Linked DNA regions of Callithrix jacchus. The protein of the gene in region 2 interacts with the protein of the main gene of each other region in a pairwise test. Links are inferred from orthologs where the notes say so. Each region holds a gene or a part of one and is shown on either strand. Other genes may lie near its edges. The genes, in order: CLNS1A, LSM2 and DNAJA1.

Region 1 (3,753 bases), on a different chromosome or scaffold from region 2:
GGCACTGTGGCTCATGCCTGTAATCCCAGAACTTTGGGAGGCCAAGGCGGGTGGATCACCTGAAGGTCAGGAGTTTGAGACCAGGCTGGCCAACATGGAGAAACCCCATCTCTACTAAAAATACAAAAAATTAGCCAGGCGTGGTGGCGGGTGTCTGTAATCCCAGCTACTCGGGAGGCTGAGGCAGAAGAATCGCTTGAACCCAGGAGGTGGAGGTTGCAATGAGTAGAGATTATGCCATGCCACTGCACACCAGCCTGGGCAAACAAGAGTGAAACTTCGTCTCAAAGAAAAAAAAAAAAAAAGTTGGGGGTGGCCACAAGATCACATGAGCCAGTTTATCCATCTGGTGGTGGCAGCTGATCCATCAGGTGCAAGGGCCGATCTTAGGTGCAGTTTAGGGAGGGTCAGAATCTTGAAGCCTCCAGCTGTAATTTCTAATCTAAACCATAATTTCTAAAATCTTGTAGCTAATGTGTTAGTCCTACAAAGGCAGTCCAGACCCCAAGCAAGAAGGAAATTTGTTTTGGGAAAAGGCTGTCATCATTTGTTTTAAACTTTAAACTATAAACTAAGTTCCTCTCAAAGTATGCCCAGGAATGCACAAGGACAGCTTGGAGGTTAGAAACAACATGGATTTGGATAGGTCGCTTTCAGTGTCTCAACTATAATTTTGCAATGGCGGTTTCACTGTGACAACCTTGAGGTAGAGAGTCCCACAGAACTCTCGGTTATTTGAAGCCCAGAACCTCAGAAATGGCGAGGAAGAGAGGGAGGGCCGTCCCGCGGTCAAACAACTCGGTCTTAGCCGACCTCCGACGCTTTTCCTAGAATGTCTCATCTCTATGGTTGACGGGGCTCAGGTTCCTGGCCGACTGTTGTTCTTCCGGGGTAACTTCCTTTTCCGGGGCGGGCGGCGCTGTGCGTGTATTGCTGTGCCCCAACTCCCTCAGGGCCTGTGTTGCGGGATTCCCTGCTGCTATGAGCTTCCTCAAAAGTTTCCCGCCGCCTGGGCCGGCGGAGGGGCTCCTGCGGCAGCAGCCAGACACCGAGGCTGTGCTGAACGGGAAGGGCCTTGGCACCGGTACCCTTTACATCGCTGAGAGGTAGGGTTCCTGGTCCTCAGCGCCGGCCTCCTCCTCGCTGGCGCAGGAGGTGCGAAGGAGCCAGGCGAGGGGCGACCTAGTGGGCTGTTGGGAGCGGGGGCGCGTGCCTGGGACGCCTCATGGATACCTGTACTGGGTGGAAGACTCGGTTTTTCTGGCGCTCCTCCGGAGTCTTCCATTCTGTTTTCTCCGGCCGTAATTTCCCCTCATGGGTTGTGCTGCTTTTCTTTTTGCTGTTAACTCTCCTGTTTACGGGAGGTCTGGCGCCTGCGTTGCCCTTCACGCACGGTCTCGTTTTAAGGGTCTGAAGTGTGCCTGTCTTTCGGATGAACAGATGCAGGAAGTGGTCCCTTCTGCGGGATATGTAGTTTCAGAGCAGATTGTGGAGGACTTTGAAACTTTGGATACTACACAATATAGATTTTCTTCTGTAGGTATACTAAGGAGGAACACCTCTTCACCCGACACAGACAGGGGTCATATGCAGAGGGACTAGTCTCCCGTTTTGGGGTCCTGGAAGGAATTGCCCTTTTATTTGACCACCTGGAGCACTTTTGTATTTTCACAGTCAGATAGATCCTCCTTAAATACTGTAGTTGTAGAACTGAGGTCTCTGTTTTTGACTTGTAGTCCTCTTTATTTTGAAGTATGTAATGACACATTGAATCCTTCCTGTCCTTCAGATACCTGTTGCTTCCCCTTTTGCTCCATCACTTGTCTACAGGCAGAGAAAATTCTCTACTTTTAAGTGCTCATATAATTACTTTGGGACCACTTATAAAATCCAGGATAAAATCTACCAATGTTACTGTCAACTGATAAGCTGAATTACGTTTGCGAAGTCCCTTTTGCTATGTAATATAACATAGTCACAGGCGTGACACCAGAAAGTGAAGGTCGTGGGGCCAAAATTCTGCCTCCCAGAGAATCCAGACTACAAAAACTGTAAAGAACTGTTGCTTTAAAGGGAAATTTAGGCATTGATCAAGGCTTAGGCTTCAGGCCAGTCATTGAGGTAAGACATAAGGATGGGAGGAAAAGCAAGATTGATGTGATAAGCAGATAATGAGTTTGGTCAGGACATGTGTGGAATAGTTGTACACATGAGTGTGTTTTGGGCCGGGTGTGGTGGGTCATACCGGTAATCCCACCATTTTGGGAAGCTGAGGCGAGTGGATCGCTTTAGCCCAGCAGTTTGAGATCAGCCTGGGCAACATGGTGAAACTCAGTCTCTGCAAGAACTAGCCAGGCATGGTGGTGGCCTGTAGTTCTAGCTACTCAGGAAACTGAGGTGGAAGGATCATCTGAGCCCAGGAGGTGGAGGCTGCCGTGGGCGTTATTGTGCTCTGCAGTCCAGCCTGCATAACAGTGAGACCCTGTCAAAAAAACAAAAACATATGTCTTGGGAAAGTGATATTAAAGAGAGATGTTTGGGAGTCGTTAGAGAAAGTATTAGCGTATACTCATGGAAATGGATTGGTATCCCAGAAGAGAAGAGGACCAAGTGTAGAATCCTCGGGATACACCTGTATTAAGAGGTGGGTCACAGAAGAAGAAGGGACTTGAGAAAGTAGGAAGGAGCAGTCAGAAACAAAATCTGGAGTCTATATTGAGTATTGATAAGGAAATCTTTGATAATTGGGGAAAGCAGTTTCTTATAAGTGGTGAAAGATGGGGCACAGATACATTTTTAGTTCCAGGCATTCCTTTTTTATTCATGACATTTAAGTATATTGACACTTCTTTCAATATTATAACTCCTTTTGAGGAGCAGTCCTGTATTTCTTTTTGCATTTTGAAAAATTTCAAACCTAGCTGGGCACAGTGGCTCATGCCTGTAATCCCAGCACTTTGGGAGGCTGAGGCGTGCGGATCACAAGGTCAGGAGATGGAGATCATCCTGGCTAACACAGTGAAACCCCGTCTCTAAAAAAAAAAAAAAAAAAGAAATTTCAAACCTAAGGCTGGGTGCAGTGGCTCATGCCTGTAATCCCAGCACTTTGGGAGGCTGACGGGTGGGGTGGATCACCTGAGGACAGGAGTTCAAGACCAGCCTGGCCAACATGGTGAAACCGCATCTCTACTAAAAATACAAAAATTAGCAGGGTGTGGTGGCGTGTGCCTGTAATCCCAACTACTTGGGAGGCTGAGGCAGGAGAATCGCTTGAACCCAGGAGGCAGAGGTTGCAGTGAGCCAAGATTGTGCCATTGCACTTCTTCCTGGCTGACAATGAGACTCTGTCTCAAAAAAAAAAATTTCAAATCTAATTAACATTTTGCCACATTTATGTCTCTCTCTCTTTTTTTTTTTCTGAGCCATTTGAGAATTGCAGACCTGTTTTCCATTTCCTGTATCTCAGAAGAACGGGAACATTCTCTTGTATAACCACAATACAATTCTCACACTAAGGAAGTATAACTCATTTCAAGTTTTTATCTGTTTTTAAAAAATTCTTAGGCTGGGCAAGGTGTCTCATGCCTGCAATCCCAGCACTTTGAGAGGCCAAGATGAGCAGATAGCTTGAGCCTAGGAGTTCTTGACCAGCCTGGGCAACATGGCAAAACCCCGTCTCTACAAAGAATACAAAAAAAATGCAGAAATTAGCCAGTCATGGTGGTGTGTGCCTGTAGTCCCAGGTACTCTGGG
Region 2 (3,753 bases):
AATAAAGGATAAACAGAAAACTAATGCCTGCACTGCTTTTAAATCTCCTCCCACTTGTATCTTTTATTTTAATCTTATTTCAGGACTTAGACTAAATGCTGTATTTTTGAGAGACTTCTCCCTGTCCTTCTAGCCCCGTAGAACCTTCTATCAGAGAGTCTATATTCTTCCTAATGGGTGCTTCTCATTTTGTAGAAATAACATTTGCTGTTTATGGCCTGTTCTTTTTTTGTTTTGAGATGGGAGTCTCACTCTGTCGCCAGGCTGGAGTGCAGTGGTGCAATCTTGGCTCACTGCAACCTCCACCTCCCGGGTTCAAATGATTCTCCTGCTTCTGCCTCCCTAGTAACTGGGACTACAGGTGCGGGCCACCACGCCCAGCTAATTTTTGTATTTTTAGTAGAGACAAGGTTTCACTATATAGGCCAGAATGATCTAGATCTCTTGACCTCGTGATCCTCCCACCTCAGCCTCCCAAAGTGCTAGGATTACAAGTGTAAGCCACTGTGCACCATGCCCATCCTATGGCCTGTTCTTTTTTGAGACACAGTCTCCCTCTGTCACCCAGGCTGGAGTAAAGTGGTATAATCATGGCTTGCTGTAGCCTCGACTTCCTGGGTTCAAGTGATCATCCCACCTCAGGCTGGGATTAGTCCCTAATAACTGGGACTACAGACATGCATCACTACACCTGGCTAATTTTTAAATTTTTTGTAGAAATAGAGGTCTCACTATGTTGCCCAGGCTAGTCTCAAACTCCTGGACTCAAGTGATCTTCCTATCTCAGCCTCCCAAAGCACTGAGGTTACAGGTGTGAGCCACCATGACCAGCCTAGTATTTACTTTTTTTTTTTTTTCCCAGATGGAGTCTCACTCTATCATCCAGGCTGGAGTGCAGTGGCACAATCTCAGCTCACCGCCATCTCTGCCACCTAGGTTCAAGCGATTCTCCTGCCTCAGTCTCCTGAGTAGCTGGAATCACAGGCGCCTGACACCACACCTGGCTTATTTTTGCATTTTTAGTAGAGACAGGGTTTCACCATCTTGGTCTGGCTGGTCTTGAACTCCTGACCTCGTGGTGACCACCCATCACGGCCTCCCAAAGGCTGGGCTTACAGGTATGAGTCACCTCGCCCAACCCGAGAGCCAGGGAGCCTGGCTACTAGTACTTACTCTTTAAACTATATAATGCTTTGTATTGTTTTCCAATACACAGCATAATCCCAAGCTTATCTGTAAATTTAAGGCACAAGGCACTTATTTTTAAATTTTTCTTAGAGATGGGGTCTTGCTCTATTGCCTGGGCTAGAGTGCAATGGAGTAATCATTGCTCACTGCAGCCTCAAACTCCTGGGCTCAAGCGATCCTCCCTCCTCAGCCTCCCAAAGTGCTGGAATTACAGTACTGAGCCACTGAGCCCTACCCATTTATTTCTTCCTTATATCTTCCACCTCTCCCAGCCTTCAAATAGTTCTCAAATTAAAGAGGTTCCAGGGCGTTGGGCACACCCACCCCCAACAGACTTGTTGGAACAGGTACCTACCTCAGGTCATTCTTGAGTTCCACGACCACATCCTTGCCCACAAGGGACTTGAAAAAAGAATAGAAGAGCTATTGGGTGAGAGGGGGAAAACCATCATGTGGGAAGGAACATGGTAGGGAGGAGTGTCCCTTGCCAGTATTACCAAACACTGGTATTGTGAACCCCACTGCATCTCTGACAGTTCTCAAAACTTCACAGGAAAGAATAATCGGCTGACAGAGGTGAAAGGCTGGAGCCTATATTATTCCACACACTGCATTGAGCCCATCACTTAAAGTTCCAGAGAGGCTCTGCCCTGCATACGTCGGCCCAAGTGTGCTCTCTCAGTCGGCCACCTTCCTGGGGTCCCTGCCCACTCCTTTCAATGAACTGCAGAAAATATCCCACCCCCACCCGCCGGAAGCCTGCTTGGTCTCCGGCAGATTAAGTGCTCTAAGGTCTAACTTTTCTGTCTCCCGCTGTCCCCATTGACTCTCTCTCAGGGTTGAGTTTTTTTAACCTCCCATGGAAAAAAAAAAAATTCCCATTTGCTTTCAGGTATCTCCTCAACGAACTTGAGGCACAAGACTAAGGACCTAAAACTCCAGCCCAGGGGGACAAAGGCCAGACTCCCCGCCCCAACCGTCCGAGCTCCCCGAGGGCACCACCTTTTGACTTCACAGTACCCACCATGGTTTTGGCGCCGCGGGCAGCGGGCCGGACCGGGAAAAGATCAGGCTGCCGCCAGCAGGTCTGGGGAAACCGAAGCGGGAGCCCGCGCGTGGGGCGAGGCGGGGCCGCGCAGGCGCAGCGTGAAAGGACGTAGACAGCTCCAAGCACTGAAGGGGAGAGCGCGGCCGACTTGTGGCTGGGGAGAGCACTCTGGGTAGAACCGAAGGGAGGAGGAAGCCGGGAAAGGGGCGGGGTTCCTGCATTCCGACTTCCTCCCGGGCTGGCCGGCTCCCATTGCGCACGCGCGGACCCGGGCCTGGGCTGCTGGGCGGGTGGCGGGACTCAGCTCCTCAACTCAAAGGATACTGTTCTTTTCCAGGATCCTGTCGTCCATAGCGTCAAGTCCTCCTGATTTACACACACTCCTAATCGAGAATTGTGGGGAGTTTGTGAAGATTATGAAGTATGCACTTTTCTATATTGGTTAAAACCATAAAATGTAAAAGTTTTGAATCTTTTTTTTTTTTTAATTTTTTATTGGATTTTAGGTTTTAAGGTACATGAGCAGAACATGCAAGACAGTTGCGTAGGTACACACATGGCAGTGTGCTTTGCTTTCCTTCTCCCCTTCATCCACATTTGGCATTTCTCCCCAGGCTATCCCTCCCCACCTCCCCCTCCCACTGGCCCTACCCTTTTCCCCCCAATAGACCCCAGTGTTTAGTACTCCCCTTTCTGTGTCCATGTGTTCTCATTTTTCATCACCCGCCTATGAGTGAGAATATGCGGTGTTTCATTTTCTGTTCTTGTGTCTGTTTGCTGAGGATGATGTTCTCCAGATTCAAACGACACAAACTCATAATTTCTGATTGCTGCATAATATTCCATGGTGTATATGTGCCACATTTTTCCAATCCAGTCTATTATCAATGGGCATTTGGGTTGATTCCAGGTCTTTGCTATTGTAAACAGTGCTGCAATGAACATTCATGTACATGTGTCCTTAGAGTAGAACGATTTATAGTCCTTTGGATATATACCCAGTAATGGGATTGCTGGGTCAAATGGAATTTCTATTTCTAGATCCTTGAGGAATCGCCACACTGTCTTCCACAATGGTTGAACTAATTTACACTCCCACCAACAGTGTAAAAGTGTTCCTTTTTCTCCACATCCTCTCCAGCATCTGTTGTCTCCAGATTTTTTAATGATCGCCATTCTAACTGGCGTGAGATGGTATCTCAATGTGGTTTTGATTTGCATCTCTCTGATGACCAGTGACGATGAGCATTTTTTCATATAAGTGTTTTGAATCTTAAATTAAGTTGAAAAAAAGAAAAAAGGGCCAGAGGCGGTGGCTCACGCCTGTAAGTAATCCCAGTACTTTTGAGAGGCCGAGGCGGGTGGATTATGAGGTCAGAAGTTCAAGAGCAGCCTGGCCAAAATGGTGAAAACCTGTCTCTACTAAACATACAAAAATTGGCTGGGCGTGGTGGCTCATGCCTGCAATCCCAACATTTTGGGAGGCTGAGACAGGTGGATCACTTGGGGTCAGGAGT
Region 3 (2,849 bases), on a different chromosome or scaffold from region 2:
TTACAGGCACCTGCCACCACACCTGCTGGTGTTTTTAGTAGATGGGTTTCATTTTTGAGTTTTTAGTAGACAGGTTTCACCATGTTAGCCAGGCTGATCTCAAACTCATGGCCTTGGGTGATTTGCCCACCTCGGCCTCCCAAAGTGTTGAGATTACAGGCCTAAAAATATCTTTGGATAAGAAAGAACTACCCTTTTGAGAGTAAGAGTAGCTTTCTTAAATACCTCATGAGAAGAGTTAGACTGTTTCAGGACGGGTTTTAGTATTCAAAGTTAGTTTGCTGGATAGAACAATGGTGGTTATAAGTACAGTTTTATTTAATACAATCTTTTTTTAATGAAGCCTGACTTTTGGTCATAATCCTTGAACTCTAGTTGAGAGTGCGCTATGCACTGTGTTTTTCTGGGGAAAGTGAATCCATGATACTCTTAAGGAGCTAATGATGAAAACAGATTGAACTTTAAAAATTTCTTTTGAAGGTAAACTTCCCTGAGAATGGCTTTCTCTCTCCTGATAAACTGTCTTTGCTGGAAAAACTCCTACCGGAGAGGAAGGAAGTGGAAGAGACTGATGAGATGGATCAAGTAGAACTGGTGGACTTTGATCCAAATCAGGAAAGACGGCGCCATTACAATGGAGAAGCATATGAGGATGATGAACATCATCCCAGAGGTGGTGTTCAGTGTCAGACCTCTTAATGGGCCAGTGAATAACACTCACTGCTGGCATTTTATGTGCAGTAGTGAATGAGTAAGGATGTAATCATAATATGCTCACTACTTGCTCTTGTTTTTGTTTTAATCAACTATAGTAGTGTTTTAAAAAGTTAAATGAAGAATAAAGGCAAATATAAAAGCTCTGACTGCCCTGTATGTATGATGACTTCAGTGTGCAAAATGAAGTTTAATACCTGTAAAAAGTACTTTAAAAAGAAGTTCCCCTAGCATTGCTAGGCCAAACCTTGTAATTGACTTCAGCTATGTATGTGGACAAGCTTAGACTGAAATGCTAGGTATATGTATTGGCTTCAGTGTATGACCCTTCATTGTTAAGCTCTGAAAGTAAAACTGTACTTAACTGGCAATAAGAAAATTGTAGAGAAGTGTTGGTCTGTATAGTTCTTGTATTAAGTGGGAATCATTGTAATGCCTCTGCATTTATTCTATTGCCTCAACTGTTACTTGAAGATGGCATAATATATAATTTATCCTGTGGTATCAGTGATAAAATGATACCTTTCTGTAGGAGGGGTTTATCATAATATGCTGCTTCTTGAAGGCTTGCACTTCCAAAATTGTTCCTTCTGCTGTGCCATCCATATATATATATATATATATCCATATATATCTTGACCAGTCCTGGTTATTTGCTCCCCTCCTTGTCTGTGGACCATGATAAGCCTGAGTAGTGACTTCAGAGCTGGGTAACGTAGAAATTAAAGTGAAAAGACCTTTACATGGAGAAGTAATTTGCATGCGTAATATAGGAAGGTGTTCTTTAGGTATGTTACAGGATTACTTTAAACCATTTGACTTATGCTCCAAAGTAACTAATGTTGGTAGTATAGCAAATTATGAATAGCTTTAATTGTATGTTTAAAAGTCTCATATGTTCACATGCTTAAATCTGGGTATCAGAATTTAAGCAATTCTTGAAATGTATTGTTTCCTTAATATACTAATTACAAAGCATCTCCAATGTGTGTCACTACAGGCTTTTTTTTCCCAGATCATCAGTTTTGGCTTTTAACTAAGATACATAACTTGATTTTAGCTAGTCTAAATGAGTAATATAAAAACACTATTGAACTATACTTTTTTTTTTTTTGAGACAGAGTTTTGCTCTTGTTACCCAGGCTGGAGTACAATGGCGCGATCTTGGCTCACCACAACCTCCACCTCCTGGGTTCAGGCAATTCTCCTGCCTCAGCCTCCTGAGCAGGTGGGATTACAGGTATGCGCCACCATGCCCAGCTAATTTTTTTGTATTTTTAGTAGAGACAGGGTTTCACCATGTTGACCAGGATGGTCTTGATCCCTTGACCTTGTGATCCACCCGCCTTGGCCTCCCACAGTGCGGGGATTACAGGCGTGAGCCACCGTGCCTGGCCGAACTATAATATTAAAAAGGATGGAGAGTAAAGTGGAGGGCTGAGTAATGAGCCAAGAAGAGGGGGCTTAGAAAACTTTGCAAACATTGGAGTATGAGAAAACAAGTTCTTAAGAACACAAGTTTAAAAAGGAGAAAAACTGTTTAAAAAATAAAGTTCTCAAACCATCCATGTTTGTCAATTTCCTTTTTGTCTGTGCCAGACAGCCACAGCTACCCTAAAATTTGAGAGATGTGAAGCAGATGTTCAGGAAAGTATAATTTGATCAGTGTTGAAAAAGCACTTGTGACCCTTTCACTGAGCTTATATCCAAATTCTAAAAATTTCTCAACCTCTATATTAATATATTTAATATGTTTAGGGCCAGGCACGGTAGTGGCTCACGCCTGTAATTCCAGCATTTTGGGAGGCTAAGGCGGGTAGATCACCTGAGGTCAGGAGTTTGAGATCAGCCCGGCCAACATGGTGAAACCCATCTTTACTAAAAGTACAAAAATTAGCTGGGTGTGGTGGTGCGCACCTGTAGTCCCGGCTACTCTGGAGGGTGAGGCAGGAGAATTGCTCAAATCCAGGGGGCAGAGGCTGCAGTGAGCCAGGATCACGCCATTGCACTCTGGCCTGGGTGACAGAGCAAGACTCTGAAAAAGTATTATTTGTCAGTCTTATGGGAAACACATAAAAACCAGATACAACTTCACACCTACTAGGATAGTTCTAATCCAAAAGATGGGAAATAAG

The links.
Region 1: the proteins of LSM2 (region 2) and CLNS1A interact in binary tests that used the Homo sapiens proteins (3 or more experiments, as listed by UniProt). The link is inferred for Callithrix jacchus from reciprocal best matches to the Homo sapiens genes LSM2 and CLNS1A.
Region 3: the proteins of LSM2 (region 2) and DNAJA1 interact in a two-hybrid assay, tested with the Homo sapiens proteins (2 studies listed by BioGRID and IntAct). The link is inferred for Callithrix jacchus from reciprocal best matches to the Homo sapiens genes LSM2 and DNAJA1.

What each region holds. Positions count from the first base shown.
Region 1 is NC_133511.1:62,962,230-62,965,982, forward strand, and holds the start of CLNS1A (methylosome subunit pICln), read left to right. Parts: upstream 1-899; 5' UTR 900-981; coding exon 982-1,106; intron 1,107-3,753. UniProt on the Homo sapiens protein: Involved in both the assembly of spliceosomal snRNPs and the methylation of Sm proteins.
Region 2 is NC_133505.1:39,307,231-39,310,983, forward strand, and holds the start of LSM2 (U6 snRNA-associated Sm-like protein LSm2), read right to left. Parts: upstream 2,316-3,753; 5' UTR 2,216-2,315; coding exon 2,213-2,215; exon of another isoform or gene 2,081-2,212; intron 1,612-2,080; coding exon 1,544-1,611; intron 1-1,543. UniProt on the Homo sapiens protein: Plays a role in pre-mRNA splicing as component of the U4/U6-U5 tri-snRNP complex that is involved in spliceosome assembly, and as component of the precatalytic spliceosome (spliceosome B complex).
Region 3 is NC_133502.1:140,231,092-140,233,940, forward strand, and holds the end of DNAJA1 (dnaJ homolog subfamily A member 1), read left to right. Parts: intron 1-480; coding exon 481-699; 3' UTR 700-2,280; downstream 2,281-2,849.